Caenorhabditis elegans: one gene and its partner. The protein of the gene in region 1 purifies or fractionates together with the protein of each later gene. This does not show direct contact. Each region holds a gene or a part of one and is shown on either strand. Other genes may lie near its edges.

What was found.
Region 2: the proteins of haf-9 (region 1) and F32D8.3 fractionate together in Caenorhabditis elegans (co-fractionation; one large-scale study listed by BioGRID). This does not show direct contact.

Annotation. Positions count from the first base shown.
Region 1 is NC_003279.8:6,079,868-6,086,488, forward strand, and holds haf-9 (ABC-type antigen peptide transporter), read left to right. Parts: upstream 1-1,944; 5' UTR 1,945-1,948; coding exon 1,949-2,053; intron 2,054-2,096; coding exon 2,097-2,174; intron 2,175-2,220; coding exon 2,221-2,315; intron 2,316-2,460; coding exon 2,461-2,834; intron 2,835-2,870; exon of another isoform or gene 2,871-2,938; intron 2,939-2,940; exon of another isoform or gene 2,941-3,072; intron 3,073-3,120; coding exon 3,121-3,238; intron 3,239-3,280; coding exon 3,281-3,411; intron 3,412-3,478; coding exon 3,479-3,557; intron 3,558-3,599; coding exon 3,600-3,726; intron 3,727-3,922; coding exon 3,923-4,038; intron 4,039-4,088; coding exon 4,089-4,170; intron 4,171-4,219; coding exon 4,220-4,348; intron 4,349-4,394; coding exon 4,395-4,726; intron 4,727-4,897; coding exon 4,898-5,121; coding exon of another isoform or gene 5,122-5,156; intron 5,157-5,172; coding exon 5,173-5,279; intron 5,280-5,323; coding exon 5,324-5,428; intron 5,429-5,719; coding exon 5,720-5,965; 3' UTR 5,966-6,090; downstream 6,091-6,621.
Region 2 is NC_003283.11:10,884,911-10,888,477, reverse strand, and holds F32D8.3 (TIL domain-containing protein), read right to left. Parts: upstream 1,642-3,567; 5' UTR 1,509-1,641; coding exon 1,328-1,508; intron 1,283-1,327; coding exon 1,215-1,282; intron 1,128-1,214; coding exon 639-1,127; 3' UTR 505-638; downstream 1-504. Other genes in the region: F32D8.11 (uncharacterized protein), read left to right, coding at 234-306, 358-488; F32D8.2 (ATPase_AAA_core domain-containing protein), read right to left, coding at 2,376-2,492, 2,549-2,612, 2,663-2,811, 2,863-3,013, 3,057-3,167, 3,213-3,293, 3,337-3,467, 3,513-3,567.

The DNA.
Region 1 (6,621 bases):
AAGAAGGGACAACAACAAGAATTCGGGAGCAGTTTCGAGCAATTTTTTTCGAAAATTGAGCAAAAAAAAACTACGGGTTAAAAGGATTTTTTTCTGAACTGATTTTTAATTTTGAAACAAATATTATTTTACCAAAAAAATCTTCTGATTCTGATTTTTTCTGATTTTTTGATTTTTTTTGATCTTCTGATTTTTTAATGCGAAAACTGCAACTTTTCATTCAAAATCTTGTGCAATAATGAAAGTGTTTAGTAGAAAAATTATTTTGTTGACTCTCACTTGTTAACAAAGAAAATGAATGAGGAAATTAATTATTTAGGTCTTCTTTGGTCTTTTCGGGCCTTTTCAAGTCCTTCAGAGTAATTTAAAAATCTCTTACTTTTATTTTAATAATTAATTCTTCGAACTTTTAACTTTTAGACATAAATAAAACATAATTGTATATCGAGGATCAAAATGCACTCTGGATTGAATTTCCAACTGAATACACAAGAGAACATACCCGGCAGATGGGTGAAGAATAATCTTGCCAGCTGGCATTTATGAACCAGCTAGTCGGTTGCAAAATGTAGAATTTGCGTATGCAGCTTGTAAAAGGAAATCCGGATGAAAAATCTAGAGAAAAAAGACGAAAAAGTGTTCTGGAAGACCGAATGTCCAAACGCAACAAAAACTGATAAAATTCGGACGCGAAAACTATGAAAACTGAAGAGAAACGAACAACAACTACGTCGTCGTCCACGTACACATAACTATATGTACAACCAATTCTCCCATTTTTCTCTCATTCCTCTTCACATCCACACAATCTCTACACTTCTTGTGTTCATTCGTTCGTCCAGTTCAGCCTGCGGTCATCTAGAAAGACGACCTCGATTTCCGATTTCAATCTTTCCATCAGCTTCTGTGTCTCTTCAATTTAAATAGATTATTCATTTCTTCACTCTCGATGTCCGCGTTTAAACTGAACAAAAAACACTGGCGTGTATGCAAATTGGAAAATGCATCGATTTTTTGTTGGAAACAACTGATTTTCAGGTGAAATGTGGGTTGAAAGGAAAAACTACTAATTACGAAAAAGGGGGCCAAACCAAAATGGCATTGAGAAACGCGTGGTGTAGGAGGATTAAGGAGTATTTACTGAGGTAATCGGAGAGGTTGCATTCAGATATCGGAATAAAAGTGAGAACTTGGGGACAGTTGAGTTTGAAAATTCAATATCTAACCTTTCAACGCTTGAAAATATGGTGTTTTCTTGATTTTTTCTAAACAAACCGAAAAGAGTTCACATTTTACGTTGGAATAGCGCAATCTAACTCAAATTCTATGAAAACCAATGTTTTAAAATTATTTTACACAAAAAAAAACACTTTTCATGAGAAAAAGGAAGAAAATCAAGAAAAAAAATAAATAAGTGGAAGTTATCCGAGAGGAGTACATATTACTGCACACAATACACACGAAACTACGGAAAATTGCAGACGCGACGTGGTGTACCGTATCCTGCGCTAAAATTGTCGATTTTTTATGTCTGCAGACATGTCTGAAACTCTGAAAAATCCTGAAAACAAACAAAGATTCACATGCAAAACAATTCACCCCCGCAGAGCATCCAATTTTGCATCAAATTGGCAGTTACATGGTTGACAAGCGCCCGCAGCGCCTAATCACACTGATTATTTAGTTGAAACGAGAGAACGAGAGCCGAAGAGAAAGAATAATTCGTTATCTTCCCTGATTGTCCACCAGTAAATTGAAGAAAGCACTGCGGAGAGTTGCCATTCTCCTAAAATTCACTGATAGCAAATCACGGTTATCAATAAAGAGTGGGACAGAGTTTCCATTTTTCGGTTTTCCTAATTCGTTTTTTGATACTCCAAAAAGTTACATTTCTAGTTACTTTTTTCTTTTTTTAAGCAATTTTGAGAAATTCGAGATTTTCAGAAGAATGAGTTCTTCTCTTTACACGGGTGGCCAGGCCCTTTTCATATGCCTGGCGTTCATTGGCCTCGATCTTCTGGTCAATGTATTCGGACTTGCTTGGAATGGAAAAGTATGAAAATATGTTCAAAATTCGAACCAAAATCTCTTTTCAGTACTTCACGTTCGACAATATCGCTCACTGGTTTGATTTGGCCAACTATAGTTTTTTGAAAAATCCAGTAGATTTTTTGGTAGATCAGAAAATTTTGTTCAACCACCATAAATTGAGTATTTTAGGCGGTTGCGTTGATTCGTGACAGTATTTTGCTCGGCGGAGCAGTTTCAGCATGGGCTTCACCTTCCGGATTCTCACAAGTCGCCGAAAATGTCAAGTAAGTTGCCAATTTTGAGAACTTCAAGTGGGAAAAATCAATTCAAAGAAAATCAAATTTGTTACAGTACTCGTCGTTTGAAGGCGCATTCCAAATTCCCGAATAACAAATCATTGAAACTTTTTGTTAACATGATAATTTCCAGGAACGTAGTTTTTGCAATGATGCTCTTGATTGTTGCATTTGCTCCATCGAAACTTCTAGCATTCTATGAAGATGACAATATCCGGTTGGCAGTTGGTGATTGGATTCTTATGATTTGGTGTATTTTCGCTTCACTTCTTCTTCAAGGAATCTGGACTTCTGTGCTTGCTCATGTAACAGAAGTTGCAGCAGGAACAGGAGATTCTCTTCTTTTTGGAGATGCTGAACACGAGGAGAGACTCCGTCAGGAGGAAGCTGAAAAAGCTGCAGAGCAAAGAGAAACCTTCCAATTGTTGTTCAGACTTTTGGGCTACATGGGAAGGCAGTGGAAATACTATGGAATGGCATTCTTCTTCCTTTTCTGCTACTCCCTTAGTAAGTTCTCTATTCAAAAATTAAAAAGTTTTAAAAGCCATCATACTTTCTTGTCATCATGAGAGTTAATCAAGAGTAGCAAATAAACCTAAATCACGTGGCGTGGAGTTGAACTCGGGAGCGGCGAGCGGCAGCCGGCCGCGTTAACCACTAGGCCGCGAGTGAAACAAGTCGAGACAAGCGAGAAGGGCGCTTTTATTTGCGAGAAAGAAGGAGAGTTGTTAGTGAAGTTTAAAGAAAGAAAAAATCAATTGATAAAACTCGTAATTGGTCAATTATTATACAGGTCGAGTGTTCATTCCATATTACACTGGAGAAGTAGTAACAGCAGTATTCGGTGATAAAGCTTCATATGAGAAGCTTCACAAAACCGTTTTCATAATGGGAATGCTCTCATTGGCTTCGTAAGTTGTACAATAATATCCTTTTGGAAAAAAAATGTTCAGAACTGTATTTGGTGGTCTTCGTGGAGGATCATTCACCTATGCACACGCTACAATCGATCGACAGATTCGAAATGACCTATTCCGTTCTGTTGTGAAGCAAGAGATTGGGTTCTTTGATATGAATAAAACTGGTTCGTACTTAATGTGGAGGAGAATAGCAAAATAATGGTTTTCTGTAAGAAATGTAACTTCTTTCAGGAGAGATTTGCTCTCGACTGTCAGCTGATTGTCAAACAATGTCGAACACTTTGTCCCTCTACATGAATGTTCTTACCAGGTGAGATATCGAAGATAAACTTGAAAATTAAAATTTTTAAAGAAACTTGACAATGCTCTTCGGGTCTTTAATCTTCATGTTCACACTGTCTTGGAAGCTCTCAATGATCACTTTGATCAATATTCCGATCATTTTCCTCGTCAATAAAATTTTCGGAGTTTGGTATGATGTAAGTTGGGAACTAGTTGGAAGAAAAATCAAGCAATATCTAAGTTAATCTAAGTCAAATTTTAAGATTTTTGGAGTATAGGTATTGGGGGATTTTGTATAAATATACTGAACGCTGGTCAAAAATACTGAATATATTCATGTCAAGCATGTTGAAATATTTTAGGTTTTTCAAAGCAAACAAAAAATATTTTCAGATGCTCTCCGAAGAAACTCAAAACTCTGTGGCAAAGGCCAATGACGTGGCAGAGGAAGTACTTTCCTCGATTAGAACTGTCAAATCGTTCGCATGTGAGAATTATGAATCTAGCAGGTGACATTTTTTCAAGTAACAATATTTTTCTTGAATTCCAAAATGTTTAGATTCATGACTTTCCTCAACGTAACTCTCAAAATTGCTACTCGCAAAGTCTTCGTCGTTATCGGCTTGATTTGGTCAAATGAGGTTAGTGTTATTGTAGTTATGGTACAGTAACCCAAACAAATATTTCCAGCTTCTTCAAATGGGAATCCTCACTATTGTCTTGTGGTATGGAGGACATTTGGTAATTGAGAATAAAGTAGAATCAGGACTATTGGTCTCGTTTCTTCTGTATCAATTCCAGCTCGGGGAGAATTTGAGAGTAAGTTTATCACCAGGAAATCCAGTTATAAATTACCAAATTCCAGGAACTGGGAGAAGTTTGGAACGGACTTATGCAAGCCGTCGGAGCATCTAGAAAAGTATTTGAGTTCATTGATCGTCCACCACGTGTCGAAAACACTGGAACCTATGCACCTGACGGTATGACAGGAAAAATTGAATTCCGTCACGTGGCGTTCAGTTATCCAATTCGGCCAGATCTGCCAATTATGGAGGATTTGACATTTACTGTCGAACCTGGAGAGGTTGTTGCACTCGTTGGGCCATCTGGTGGTGGAAAGTCATCATGTATTGCAATGCTAGAACATTTCTATGAGCCAACAAGTGGAGAAGTTCTAATTGACGGAGTTCCGGTTAGGTGAGAGCACAAAAAACCACACAAGTTTTTGAAAAAATTTCTGAAGTCCTTTGAGTTTGCCATATAGTTCTCGTTGGGAATCTCAAAAGATTTGATGATTGAGCAACCTTTGAGCCACTTATGACAATGGCCCAGCTTTAGTTTTTGTTCTATGGTCAATCAATTTTCCAGAGAATACGATCATAAATTCTTGCACACCAAGGTAGCACTTGTGGGACAGGAGCCCGTACTATACGCTCGTTCGGTCACGGAAAACATCGGCTATGGATTAGACAAATACGATGATGATATGGTACAAAATTCAGCGAAACTCGCAAATGCTCATACTTTTATCATGAATGACACCACTGATGGATATAATACAAATGTTGGAGAAAAAGGAAGCCAAATGTCAGGTGTGTATTCTAATTCTTTGAAATTTAAACTTTGAAAGCAAGTATTTGCAGGAGGTCAAAAGCAAAGAATCGCAATTGCCCGTGCCCTTGTCCGTCAACCAGTTGTACTTCTTCTCGATGAAGCTACATCTGCTTTGGACGCTGAATCAGAACATACTGTTAGTTTTTTCGATCCATTCATACGAAAACTACATCTTTTCAGGTCCAAGAAGCAATTTCAAAAAACTTGAAAGGAAAAACTGTTATCCTAATTGCACATAGACTATCTACTGTCGAGAATGCAGATAAGATTGTTGTGATTAACAAAGTTAGTTTTGAATATCTACAGTTTTTGGAAAGTAAACACTTACAAAAAAGAGAATTTTGAAAAATTCAAGAAATCCATGAGTTAGGTCAAAGATGTTCGTTTTTGAAAAATTATCGAATTCACTTAATATACGATAGGGATATATTTTCACATCTCCTCGTAATTTTACCAAAAAAGAGCAATAAGAAAATATGGGAAAATCCTAAAAACTCGCATCGCATCACTGTTTCCCAGGTTCAAGCCATTTTCAGCTTTTGTATAAGAAATATAACTAATGCCCAAAACTTTCAGGGAAAAGTTGAACAACTTGGAAATCACAAGACCCTAATGGAACAAGAAGGACTCTACAAACAATTGGTCCAACGACAAATGATGAGCGGAGAGGATGGTCTTGATGACGAAATTGAGGAGCCCGAACCAGCCCGCGAAGGAGGTTCAGGCCGTAGCACTAGAGCCGGAGCACGTAGAATTAGAAGTCCATCACAGTCTGTTAGCCAGTCATTTTTGGGTACCTCATTTGCAAGCAGCTATTTGTAAATCTTATTTCTAGCTCGCGATTTTATTGAAATGTTTCTTGATCTATTTTAAATCTGTTGAGTAGTGTTCTTAAATCTGAATTACACTTTTTTTTGCTCATGTTGTTATCTATGAAAGGTTTTTTGAAATGTCTATATATTTTTCTAGCCTAGAAGAAGGAAGAGGAAATTGAAATTGTTCTGATCTGAGAATCGGGATACGGTAGAGATAACATGTTTGAAACGAAATTGAAACAATCATGGTTGCAAAAATACCTTCAGTCTACACGGCCTCTCTCAATTTCATTTATTTCAAAATTCCTCTTTTTCTCTCACACTCTCTCACGTGAGATTGAAAATTGAATAATATATGTGTTTTTAAATTAAATTCAAAATATTGACGAAGAAACAACTTTGGTAATATAAATACCGATTTGTTCGGACTGATACCAAATGGTAATTTTCGGACATATTTGATCTCGTAGACAACGGCTCACTATTTCAGTTATCTTTAAAGTAATAAAAAATTCTTCAAAGTTTGGTACAGAGAAACTGAAGTAGTTACATTTGTAGAAACTTACATAACGTATAAACCTACCGTATTCCTATCGTACCCAATTACCGTATTTCCTCTATTAGTCTTGAATGCAAGACTAATTTTCAATTGACCCGTAGGGG
Region 2 (3,567 bases), on another chromosome or scaffold:
ATATTCACAACGGAAGCCAATTTCTTATAAGCTTATACCAAAAAAGACAGAAATTTCACTTATTCAGGACGTAGTTGATAAAGCGGATTTGCGTTTATGATACCCACCGGCACGGGAGAAAAGAACAAGGATTAGAATCTGGAAGACTGGATTGTATTTAAGGAAAAGATTTTGCTTTTTTAGTGGATAATTCCTTGCAGAAAACTACACTTTGATTCAAATTATCTCGAAAAATGAAATTCTTATTGTTTTTGTATTTCACTGTGCTTGCATTTTGTGAAATTCAATGTGTGCCATTATTCAAAGGTAACATTTTTTTGATTACTTTCATACTTTTAAAGCAAATAATTATTTCAGATATTGACTATAAGCTCTATGAATATGACACTGGAGTTGCGGTGGATTCTGTTTTTGAAATAGTTCCAGATACGTCAAAAAAAGTGGCTTCCATCGGAAAAAGACATCGGAAGCATCATGAAAAATTGTAGATAAATTGAGATTTTAATTGTTCATATTTAAATTGTTTTATTGTATTTAACATGTTTCCGCACATCGTTTTTCATAAAAATTGTTATAGTTGAATGAATCTATGAGATCTTGTTGTATGAAATAAAATGTTAATCAAATAAAACCAAGATTTACAACATTCTCTTTGCAAACCGGTTTCTGCGATGACGGAGAGCTCTCATAATTCGTTTTTGTTTGAGAAAATTCTCATACAATGCAACTTTTGCTGCATTCATTCCTGGTGGCCCATAGGAAAAGTCTGGAGGAGGAGTTGCTGATGGAGCTCCGATCATGTCAGACGAGAGTTCTTGTAGCATTGGAGGAGCCGATGGAGGTGTTGGTCCATTACGAAGAACTATCAGTGGTACTGTTACGAGTTCATCAGCAATTTCAGTAGCTGTTATAAGTTCAGTTGTCGGCTCTTCAGTTGTTGCTCTAGTAGGTTCTTCTGTGGTAGTTGTGATAACAACTGGAACGGCTTCATAGAGTCGTCTAGGTGGTTGTAGTTCAAAACGTCGAAGTTTGGTCCGTGGGCATTCTTCCGGTAGAACACACAATTTGAGAGAATTCCGAACAAATCCATTTCGACAAGTGCATCCAGGCTCACATTTAGAGCAATACTGGAATTTTTTGAATTATACCGATAATAGTACTATTGGAAACTTTGCCTGTTATTTACGATTGGATTTGAGAAAAAAGGTTCTTACCGGGTCTGGATTGTTGCAGGTTGATTCACAGGCACAATGAGAAAATGATTGGAACATAGGGCAGTTTTCTGAAACCTTTCAATTGTATTTAAATTCCCATTCAAATTACATACCTTCTCCATTTATTCTAGTGGTATCATTCATACGTAGTCTTTGAATAATCAAAGATAACCTTTGTTTATTGACTTTTGGAGTTTTCAATGTTCGAAAAGCTTTATGCCGGAACTCATGAGATACTTGAGAAAATGTGGATAACACAAGTAGAAAAGGTAATAAAATGGAGAGAGTATGCATCTGCAAATGAGAATGTAGGTGAATGTAATGAATGAGAGATGGAAATGGAACAGTTCAGACAAATGGAATGGCAAGGTGCGAATATGAATCGGAAAGGAATACGATATTATTAATTTGATGATGATGGGCAATTCCGATAAAAGCTATAAAAATCTAGAGGAACGGCCTTCAAACATTCAAACATGGCTTCACTCTACAGAAGTAGCCACTGTTTCAGTCCGTCTTTAATAGTCTCGAGGAAATTCAGATCTCGAAAAATAGTACAGTAAGGTGAGACCTGCATCTAGATATTATTACAAGGTTTTGTATGTCTCAGTAGACAAAAAAAAGAGAGAAGAAACAGTGAAACAATGTTCAGAGACGCAGACGGAAGCCGTTTGTGGAACCGAACTGAAGAAGAAAGTGAGTGAAAAACGTGACGAACGAGACGGGCTGGGGATTCGGACAAAAGGTGGTCATCTGTACAGAACTAATTGATATGGAAACAATCACAGAACACAGAGGAACATGGTGATGTAATGGAATTTGATAAGGATTGAGGGGAAAAGCTGATGAAAAGGGCGTAAAATCGAATAAAAAGGAGAATGGAAAGCGAGGGAAAAACTAGGAAGGACGAAAGAAATGAGGTGAAACGGGGGATGAAAATTCGTTGTTTATGTGGGTCAGTTTTGGAAAAAAAACAATATGCTTAAAATCAATTTCATATATAATTTGAAAAATAATAAGAACAAACTATATAGTGAGATATGTGACATTCTGAAATTTGGAATCTCGTATTAATCTTTGCCAGTGCCTGTGAGATTGTTGTTTTACAAATCACACATGCTGAAAACAGATTAATAAATAAACAATTTCCACCGGAAATCCCTACCTTGCAATACCAATGTTAACTTCATAACCGACAACAACCCTTGCTGTATCGAAACTATTAAATGAAGCAAACTCCGGTTTGAAGGTGAACATCTTTTTCAGCAAAAGGGTTTTCTGGAAAAAAAAACAAATTAGTTGCAACAAAAAAAGATAAAATTAATTGAACTTACCTTACCCCTTGAACTGATAATATTCACAAATCCGGTCAATTCTACGCCACGTACTTCCTTACTTCTGAACAACAGTTTATCTAATTGTAGAGAAATACAAATAAAATAACGCACGTTCCAATTGAGTATTCATAAAAAATTTTATAATCTTCAAGTTCAAACGAACGAACACATTTGTGTGTTTTCACTTCTTGTGTAAATCTTGTTCGCAATGTTTGAAGGAAGTTTTTTTCGCCTTTTTCAGGATACCCAGAGGATGTACTCTAAACATTGAAAGTATAATTATATTTTTCTCCGACTTTCAAAGAAATTACCATATTCATGCATAAACATATATTTTCTGATATTCCTTCAGACGTACAGTTCCTTGATGTTGGTTGAGCTATGAAGACAGATTTTGAAGATTTTTCTTTCGGATTGATTAATTCAACAAGCATTTGATTGAAATTAGTAGAAGACAATAACCTAAACTCAGATATTCTTTTTAAATATAATTTTTAGACCTAACCTGTTGAAATTCATATTCATGAAATATAGTTTCTGATTATTATTTTCTATGAATTGGTTGGATGGACGAAAAGCAAACATTGGATATTTGTCGTTTTCGTTTTCAATATCTCTGCAAATTGTTCAAATTAACATGTAATGTAAATAAGAATCTCACTTTGTTGATAAGTCGTACGAAGTGATGATTAGTGTAGTGTTCTCGAAAATGTTTGATTCCTTTAATAGATCCAACATTTTTCTGAAAAAAGGTCCGTTTTTTTCCTCAAAAACTTTTATAATACTTCAAATCTTGATCAATTGATTGTCTACGATATTCATCATATTCATCAATAAACATTGCTGAAAACACCTTGGAATCTGCTGTTGATGTCAGAAATGCTCCGATTTTTTCCAATTGATCATTTACTAATTTCTAGAAAAATTGTGATATAAACTTTTTTTGAAATATAAAACTTACTTTTCCATTTTTCAAACATAAGTTTCCATCAATTAAGAATTGTGTTATGAAATTC